Rattus norvegicus: one gene and its partner. The protein of the gene in region 1 interacts with the protein of each later gene in a pairwise test. Links are inferred from orthologs where the notes say so. Each region holds a gene or a part of one and is shown in the gene's direction. Other genes may lie near its edges.

What was found. The genes of interacting proteins can lie anywhere in the genome.
Region 2: the proteins of Cep126 (region 1) and Hmox2 interact in a two-hybrid assay, tested with the Homo sapiens proteins (2 studies listed by BioGRID and IntAct). The link is inferred for Rattus norvegicus from reciprocal best matches to the Homo sapiens genes CEP126 and HMOX2.

What each region holds. Positions count from the first base shown.
Region 1 is NC_086026.1:13,549,297-13,553,773, reverse strand, and holds the start of Cep126 (centrosomal protein 126), read left to right. Parts: upstream 1-1,552; 5' UTR 1,553-1,791; coding exon 1,792-1,904; intron 1,905-4,477. UniProt on the Homo sapiens protein: Participates in cytokinesis. Necessary for microtubules and mitotic spindle organization. Involved in primary cilium formation.
Region 2 is NC_086028.1:11,334,813-11,339,052, reverse strand, and holds the start of Hmox2 (heme oxygenase 2), read left to right. Parts: upstream 1-1,440; 5' UTR 1,441-1,547; exon of another isoform or gene 1,548-1,757; intron 1,758-4,240.

The sequences.
Region 1 (4,477 bases):
CTTTTTCTTTTTTCTTTTTTTCGGAGCTGGGGACCGAACCCAGGGCCTTATGCTTGCTAGGCAAGCGCTCTACCACTGAGCCAAATCCCCAACCCCGGTGGGTATCTTTCTTTGATCTACATTCTGCTAGCAATTTGGAAATTTTTATACACAAAAAAAAATAATAATTAAAATGTAAACCTAAGATCCAGTCAAAATTTTTTTTACACTGGGCCCCAACAAAAAGGCCCAACTTTGTTCCAGATTTTCATTTATATAGCCATTAACCCAGTGGCTCAAAACTGCTTAATTTTCCATGCAGAAACCATTTCAATACACAGATCTCTTTGGCATATCGTCCCAGGAGATTATTAAGCTAAATCTGGACTTCTTTTCAGGCCACTTTTGCTGTGATGGTCCATTTGCAGACTCTGGCAGCCAAGCAAGGACCATAAGGATCATTTGATGTGAAGTAGGACAGCAGAGAGAGAACGGTCCAAGTATCAAGGAATAAATGAGAGCAAGTAGGGAAGGAAATTTTCCACTTTGCAAAGCTTTTTTATCTTTCTTCTTTCCTCCTCCTCCTCCTCCTCCTCCTCCTCCTCCTCCTCCTCCTCCTCCTCCTCCTCCTCCTCCTCCTCTTCCTCCTCTTCCTTCTCCTCCCGCCTTCTTCTTCTTTCCCCCCTCCCCCTCCCCCTCCTTTTCAAGGGACGGTGGTTTTGAAGAGAGTGATAATGGGAAAGGTCTCACCATTTCGAAGTTCACCACAGGATTCCATACCTAACAATTGTGCCCCAAATAATCATTTCCAGACTGTCTGTAATATTTGCCCGTATCTAGGAATTTTCCATTCACTGTCTTTCATCTGTTAATACAAAAAAAAAAAAAAAACCTCATAAAAGGGTAGAACCGAATCAAGCTCTAAAGTATATTCAGCTGGGCTCTCTCCCAACTGCGAGTCATCTGCCCAACTCAACTTGCCTTAGTTTACTTCAGTTCTACCTCAGCTTGCTTCAGTACATCTCAGTTTAACATCCTTACCTGAGTTTACCTTAGTTAAGTCAGTATAACTCAGTTTACCTCATTTTATCTTGGTAAATGGTAACTCGCTTTAACCTCATCTTTCCTCAGTGTACCTCTGCTTGTGTCCGTTTGTCTCTGCTTAATTAGGTATAATCTCGGTTTGCCTCAGTTTGACTGCGTAATTCAGGTAAACCTCAGCTCGCCTCAGTTTACCTTAGCCTGCCTCTGCTTAATTAGGTTTGATCTCAGTTTGCCTCAGTTTACCTCATCTCATTTCAGTACACCTGTTTAATTCCGCTTGCCTCCGTTTATTTCAACTTTCTTTCGTTTACTTCAGTTTACCTCAGCTTTCTTTATCTCACCTCAGTGTGCTTCAGGCTACTTCCTCTTACCTTAGCTTGCCTCAACTTGACTCGGTTTAACCCCGGCTCGCCTCAGTTTACCTCAGCTTGCCTCCGCCGGGCTTTGAACCAGCCGGCACCTCATTGGCCGCTTCCTCCTCCCAGCCCCGCCCCGCGTTCCGCCTGGTTTCCGTCGCGAAGGACGCGGCGTCGGTTGGTTGTCAAGATGGCTGCGGCGGGGTCGCGGCCGCTACCTCCGCCGTCGCCCCGCGAGGTCGCCTCCCTCGCCGCTGCCATCGCCACAGTCGCCGGGGCCGCTGCGAAGCTAGGACTGCTGCAGCCGAGCCTGCGACGCCCGTGACGCGGGGCCTTGGAGACGCGCGGCCCGGAGCGCCGAGGAGAGGACCAGGAAGGCCGAGCGGCCATGCGGGCGGCACTTAGGTGAAGGATGCTGGCGGGCAGGCCCGGAGCCCAGAGCGCAGGCGCGGGCCTGGGCGCCGGACCCCGGGACGCGCTTGGCGCCCGGGACAGCGGCGGGCGACCGCGACCCGGCGCCTACCTGTATCCTTTCCACGCCCTTCCCCCTCCCCGCTCCGGGAGCACGCACGCAGGGGCATGAAAACTGGCAAGTCATTTTCAGTGCGGATATTTGCTTTAGCAGCTGTCACCCACCCTACCCTACTCCACCCCCGACCTGAAGTTACACTTGGTCGACTTTTGTTTGTGACCTCTTTCCCCGGCTTCGCACACCCTTACTTGGACTTGGCTGTCAGATTTTTGTAGATTTTAAAATACACCGGTCCTGTATTGGATGAGCGAAGATTCGCGTTTTAGAATTACAGCGTTTTTACCCTTTACTTACAGAGACGTAAGTCTTATTCAGGCTCCTTAGAAAGAAAAATTGCCCAGAGGCTAAAATCTTGGGCTGTTCCGTTTTAGTTGTTAGCCGCACACCCCTCCTAGGGCTGCAGAACCCTAGCGTGTTGTGATCATTTTGTCTTCAATTCTGCCCACTCTTGTCAAACAGAGGAAGGGAAGAAAGCAGGGGACCTGAACCTTGATAATCTGGATTATTTCTGATTTTTTCCCTAAGAAATCGTTGAACTCCCATTTGATGTTACTGTTGGTAACATTGTGAAAATGACAATAAGCTTTTTTTTTTTAAGTACATAAAGCAGTTTTTTTTTCTTCCAGAGAACATTATTATATTAGAATTTACCCTTGGTATTCTCAGAAGACTGGCTGGTGGTGAGGATGATGTTTGCTCAACTGTTTTTCTCAGGAAATGGAGTCCCTTCTCTTTCCTCAAACGTGGGTCCCTTCCACCACTACCACCCTCCCTCCACTTCCTTAGCCCCTTAGTCCCACCTCTGCTAGGATATGCTCTTACAGTTTTAACAGCAAATCATCAGTTTTCACCGAGGGTCTCCTCTCCCGCTGACCTTCCTCTGGGTTCTAAGGATGCAGGTATGTTAGGGTTCCATTAATGCCAAAACACTCTGTCCCCAGGGACTCATCCCCAAGCTTCTATCCCTGGGTCTTTCTTCATTCTTCCGGACAGTAGCCTGCAGTAGCAGCTGCTAGCTCTTGTCTTCTTGTCTTGCCTTTTCCTCTTGCTGCTGCCACAAACTGTCTTCTCAGAGTGTGCTCTAGAGTGAATGCTACTGTCTTTTGAATTCAACTCTTCATTTTTGACGTTGTTTTGGTTGGTTAGTTGGTTTGGTTTGAGGGGTGTGTGTGTGTATCCCTGGCTGTCCCAGAACTTGATCTGTAGACCAGGCTGGACTTGAATTCATAGAGATGCTTGCCTCTACTTCTGGAGTGCTGGGATTAAAGGCACTGTATCTTCTTATACACTGAATGAACTCTTACTACCTTGTCCTAATTTGTCTCTAAATCAGGATACAAGGAAATGGCTCGTTGACAAAGCATTGATCTTCTATTATTTTCATTAATGATACCATTTTTAATTTATGTGATAAGAACATTGAACAGAGCAAGTAGGAGTAAGGAGACAAAATTTATAAGTACCGCTGTAGTTAAGTTCTAAGAGACTGAGAGAGTTTTTAAGTGGAGGCAGTAGGAAGAGGTTTGACTAGATCTGGCAAGGAGAATACATTGTATGATAGTTACTTGTGTTGATAACCTAATTGGAGAAAGACTAAATGAGGACATAAATGACCATAGTATTCTTTATTTTGTAATGTTAGCTATATAAAAATTATATTTCTTTACAGTAGATGTTAGGGTGAGTTGTTTTGATAATACATACAAAAATATTAAGCATCTATGTAAAAACTTAACTTCAATACCATTCGTCAGATGCTGGGCAGAAACATTCTTTATGTGTAATAAGCAAGATCATAATATAGTACTATATATGCTATATAGTATATATGCTAATACAGGAACTAGAGTTTATATGTAGTAGGGTTGTCTAGATAATTTAGAAATATATACATGTCAGGACATTACACTTGTAATCTTTCTGTATGTTCTTGGGATAAAATTTAAACATATTGAAGAAAATAGTTCTCATGTGATGCATTGTCCCCTGTCCTTGTCATTTGATCCAAAGTAACTTAAGCTTGTCTTTCCTACAGTGTTCTCCTGAAAGGAGAAAGCTGTATTTTTCTCTACTGATGACTTGTGACTTTGAAAAGCTAACCATCTTCTTGAAGTCTGACCCTAATAAAGCTTTCAACTAGAGAAGAAAAAGATATAGCTAAACTTGGTTCTATACTGTTCAAAACCATATTTCCTCCCCTTTTAACATGTTTACAAATCCTTCAGAAAACACCTTTAAAAACATGTGTGTCTTTGAGTTCATATTGATGTGGTACTGAATTCTAGTTGAAATGAAGGCAAAATGAACTCTAGCCTGTGGAGGAAGAAACTTTATAAAAATGACAAAACTGTTAAAAAACAAGCTCCCTTGGTAAGGCTCAGATAAGAGTTCATATACATTTGATTATTCTGAAATAGATAATAGTTTCTTTATAATATTGACACAAAAATACTATAAGCCCTTGAAATTAACACATTTTGACAAATGTGTTAATCATAATCATAATACCCTAACATTACTGTAAGTATTTGTTTTAAGTCTACATTATCCAAACCAACTTTGACTG
Region 2 (4,240 bases), on another chromosome or scaffold:
GTTAAGAGCACTGGCTGCTCTTCCACAGGTCCTGAGTTCAATTCCCAGCACCCATACGGTTGGTGGGTGACAACCATCTATAAGGGGATCTGATGCCCTCCTCTGGCATGTGGGTGTAAGTCCAGCAGAGCATTCATATATAAAAAACAAACAAACAAACAAACAAAAAACCCTATTCACATAACTTTTCTGTGTTTTTAAAGAAAGTAAAATTTTCACTATAAAAGTATATAGAATATACAAATATATAGGAATAGCTACCCAGAAGTGGAATTGTTAGTTGGGCTTGATGATAGGGTATTGTGATGTAGGAGGACCTTGCGCTAGAGGCCAGCCTAGGCTACTTAAGTGAGTTCTTAAAGGAAGAAGGGAGGGGAGGGGGAAGCGAGGGAGGGAGGGAGGGAGGAAGAAAAGAAAAAGAAAGAAGAAAGCTGTTTTATTTTTGAATTAGCCGCACTTGAGTGTTGGTATGTGCCTGTGCTAGCAGAGGCCAGAAGAGGGCGTCAGATCCCCTGAGGTTGGAGTTACAGGCAGTTGCTAGACAACCAACGTAGGTGCTGGGAATGGAATTGGCCCCTCATCCTTAGCATTACTTACTCCGAGCTACATCTCTAGTCCCCACAAACAAGGTCCACACAGAAGACAGACAGGGGACTGTTAGCAGAGGTGGACAGAGACCTGAGTGAAGATGATCGTTTGTACTGGAACTTCCTAGGGCTGGCTCGCGTGTTATGTGCCAAGTTGTCAAGGGGCTTGTGTGTTAAGTGCCAAGTGGTTAACTTGGCTCCTACATACATGCACAGATATAAGAGGATAAGCAAGAAAATGATGTCACTGCAAAGCGTTCATTCTTTTTTCTTTTTTTCTTTTTGCAGTGTTAAGGATCTAATAATTGTATTCCAATGAGTTACATCCCCAATCCTGTTGTGTTTTTGTCTTTTTGATAAATGCTCACACTGTTGCTCTTGAATTCTCCTGCCTCAGTCCCATCCCTGTCCCCCCACTCCTCCCCCGAGTGCTAGGATTCCAGGCTTGAGCCCCGATTCTCTCTCTCTCTTTTTAAAGATTTATTTATTTTTATCTGAGTACACCGTAGCTATCAGACACACAAGAAGAGGACATTGTATCCCATGTGGTTGCTGGGAATTGAACTCAGAACCTCTGGAAGAGCAGTCAGTGCTCTTAACCACTGAGCCATCTCTCCAGCCCAGCAGTCAGTGCTCTTAACTGCTGAACCATCTCTCCTGCCCCGAGCCCCGATTCTCGATCAACAAACAGTTGGCTTTTACTGACACGCTTCCTTCCTCTCGGGTTAATGTTACCACTCCCGAAGCAGTCTTGGAAGGCAGTGTCAGCTTGGCCAGGAGCCTCCTGCTAGCTGCCGCGCGTCTGGAGGCGTGGCCTATGGCTCCGCCCCTCGCTGCGTGCGCACGTCCTGCCGTCCTGCCGTCTTGCCGCCCTGCGGTCCTCGCGCTCGCCGGCTCGGCTGCGACGGTGCGGAGGGAGTCGCTGACGCGGAGACTGACTGACCTACAGAGCGGCTGAGGGTGAGTGGCCCGCTCGGTCCCCAGTCCTCCCCTCCCAGGTCCTAACCTGGCGGAGGCCTTCTTCGAAAGTTCTGCTCGGCTTTCTCTCGGTGACTCGCCCTCAGCCTGAGGGGACATCGGGCGGGGGCTGGCCGGAAGCGGGCTGAAGCGGGCGAGCGAGCAGGAGACTAGGGGTCGGAGAGGGGGCACCGAGCGGGCCTTGAGCGTCAGGTGAGCCCGAAACTGCGGACATCGCGCTCTAGAAGACCTTTGAGCCCCATCCCCTTGAGTCCTCTGGTGTTCCCGTAGGGCACAGCTCCTCCCAGCGTCACGAATACTCTTGAGGAGGTGACTCCGGGGTCGAAGTTAGTGCAGCAGTCCAGCCTACCTGAAGTCCCAGAGGAGCCTGGGGCGTGGTGGCCTTCTTGGTCCGGCCTTCAGTGGCTCCCCTCGGTGCCAAGAACCCTTAGAATCCCTTTAGGGACTTGATGAGTGAGTGACCTGTGGTGCGGAGTGCAAGACTCAGCCGTAGATGTAGCCGGTTGGTCTGGACCAGGAGGTCACCTATCACCTCCAAAGCACAGGTCTCCAGGTGACTTAATTGCCCTGTAAAAACTGCCGGGACCGCCTTGTACACTGTTTGCACAAGGGCTGTCTGAGCCATGCCATTTAAATCGGTTCTGAAGGACCAGTTGTTGTGGCCTGTGGCTGTTCATCCTTACTGTGTTCTAGTGCTGGCGCCACAAACTCAACCAGAGGGAGTGTTGCCGAGAGACATAAACACCATGAAATGTCCCATTGAGGGAGAGCGTTTGCTCTTCAATCCTTTCTAAGTCCTTGAGTGTTTCACCACCTATAAAATGAGATTATTGAGAGACTCGTGAAGTAAATCCACTAATATCCCACGGGCAAGATAACGGCACAGACGATCGCAGTTCTGCTTGGGCATCCTGTGATTTTTCAGAAGTGGATTAGAGATAAGAAATGGTTATGTTGTTCAAGTGGTCATACTAGCCTTAAACAGTCCAGCCGTATAGGAGATTTTGTGCTTTCCTGCTCCTGGTATGGTGCTAATGTTTATAGTAGTTATTATAAACATCATATAATATGTGACATTATTATTAATAAAGATTTTTTTTTTGGTGGTGGTGGAGTTTGAACATGATGAGCATGTATTTTACTAGTGAACCCTCAACACTACCCTGTGTTTTCTGTTTTGAGAAGGAAATCTTGCTATGTAGTCTACACTGACTGAATTTGAGATCCTCCTGCCTCAGTCTTCTAACTGCTAGGATTATGAACTCAGCCTAAATCTTTTTTTTTTACCCCTTTGAGTCAGGATCTCTCAAATTATTTAGTTCTGTCCTCGAATTGGCTCTATAGATAAGCCTCAACTCACAGAGACCCTATCGCCTCTGCCTCTTCAGTGCTGGGATTAAGGTGTGTACATCATGCCGGGAGGTAACTGTATGTTTTGTTTACAGCGTTTATCAATGTTTTTAGTTTCTTTGAAGAGTAAAAAGTATTTATTCAGGTTTTTTTTTTTCCCCAGAAACATCACAAGACATGATATGTTTGCTAGGAGTTCCCAGTTCAGTAGGATATTTATAAATTCACTTGATAAAATTGTAAACATTTTCTGATAAAGTGCCCGGGCCAAAACACTGACTAGAGTTGCAGGTCCGTGAGCCTTGGAAAGTTGCATGCTCACTGAGTGACCTGATCCCACTGGGGATCTGAAGAGGAAATCCTGAGGGTCCTCTGGTTTGCCTTGAATTTCTTTTTTTCTTTGCTTAGGGCAGTCAGTTGAGATGTTGAGATATAGCGAATACGAGTGCTCTGCAATTGATAAAGCCACTGAGCTGCAGAGGTCAAATGTTAATTGTCTTTAACTTAGAAGTTTTCAAACTTGCAGACTCTCATAGTTGGGCCTACCTTGATTTTTAAAAATTTTCCCTTAGTAGCTGATCCTAAAGGACTTTGCATCAGTATTGCACCAAAAACTGGAGCATCACCTTCCCAGAAGGCAGATCTTTTAGAAACTGGAATTGCATAATTCAGAGCAAAATTCGTAGTTTCGGTTGTCACTCCTTGGAGAAACGAAACAAACTAAAACCCCAGATATGCTTCTTTGAATCTTACTGGCCATAGTTAAGTAAAAAGTTAAATGTATTTCTTTTTTTGAGGCTTGGGGAACAACCAGTGGGAATTTCTCTGGTATGAGAGATGATGATCTTCTGTTTTAATCCCAGCATTTGGAGTTGTTCGAGGACATCCTTAGCTGCTTATGGGCATTGGTGTTTTTCCTGCGTTTGTGTCTGTGTGAGAGTGCCTGATCCCCTGGAACTGGAGTTATAGACAGTTATGAGCAGTGCTCTTAACTGCTAAGCCATTTCTCCAACCCCCAATTATCAAATCTTAGCAATAGAGATTCTCTTGCATGGCAAAATTTGTAGCCAGGCATTGGTTTTCAGACTTTTTGTAGTATCTGAGCTGCAGTTGGGGTGCAAGATAAATCTACTTGAAAATCCAGGAGCAGCCAGACAGTGGTGGCGCATGCCTTTCATTCCATCGCTTAGGGGCAGAGGCAGGCAGATCTCTGAGTTCAAGGCTAGCCTGGACTACAGAAAGAGTTCCAAGACATCCAGGACTGCACAGAGAAACCTTGTCTTGAAACAGTAACAACAAAATTGTGTGTGTGCATGATGTTTTAT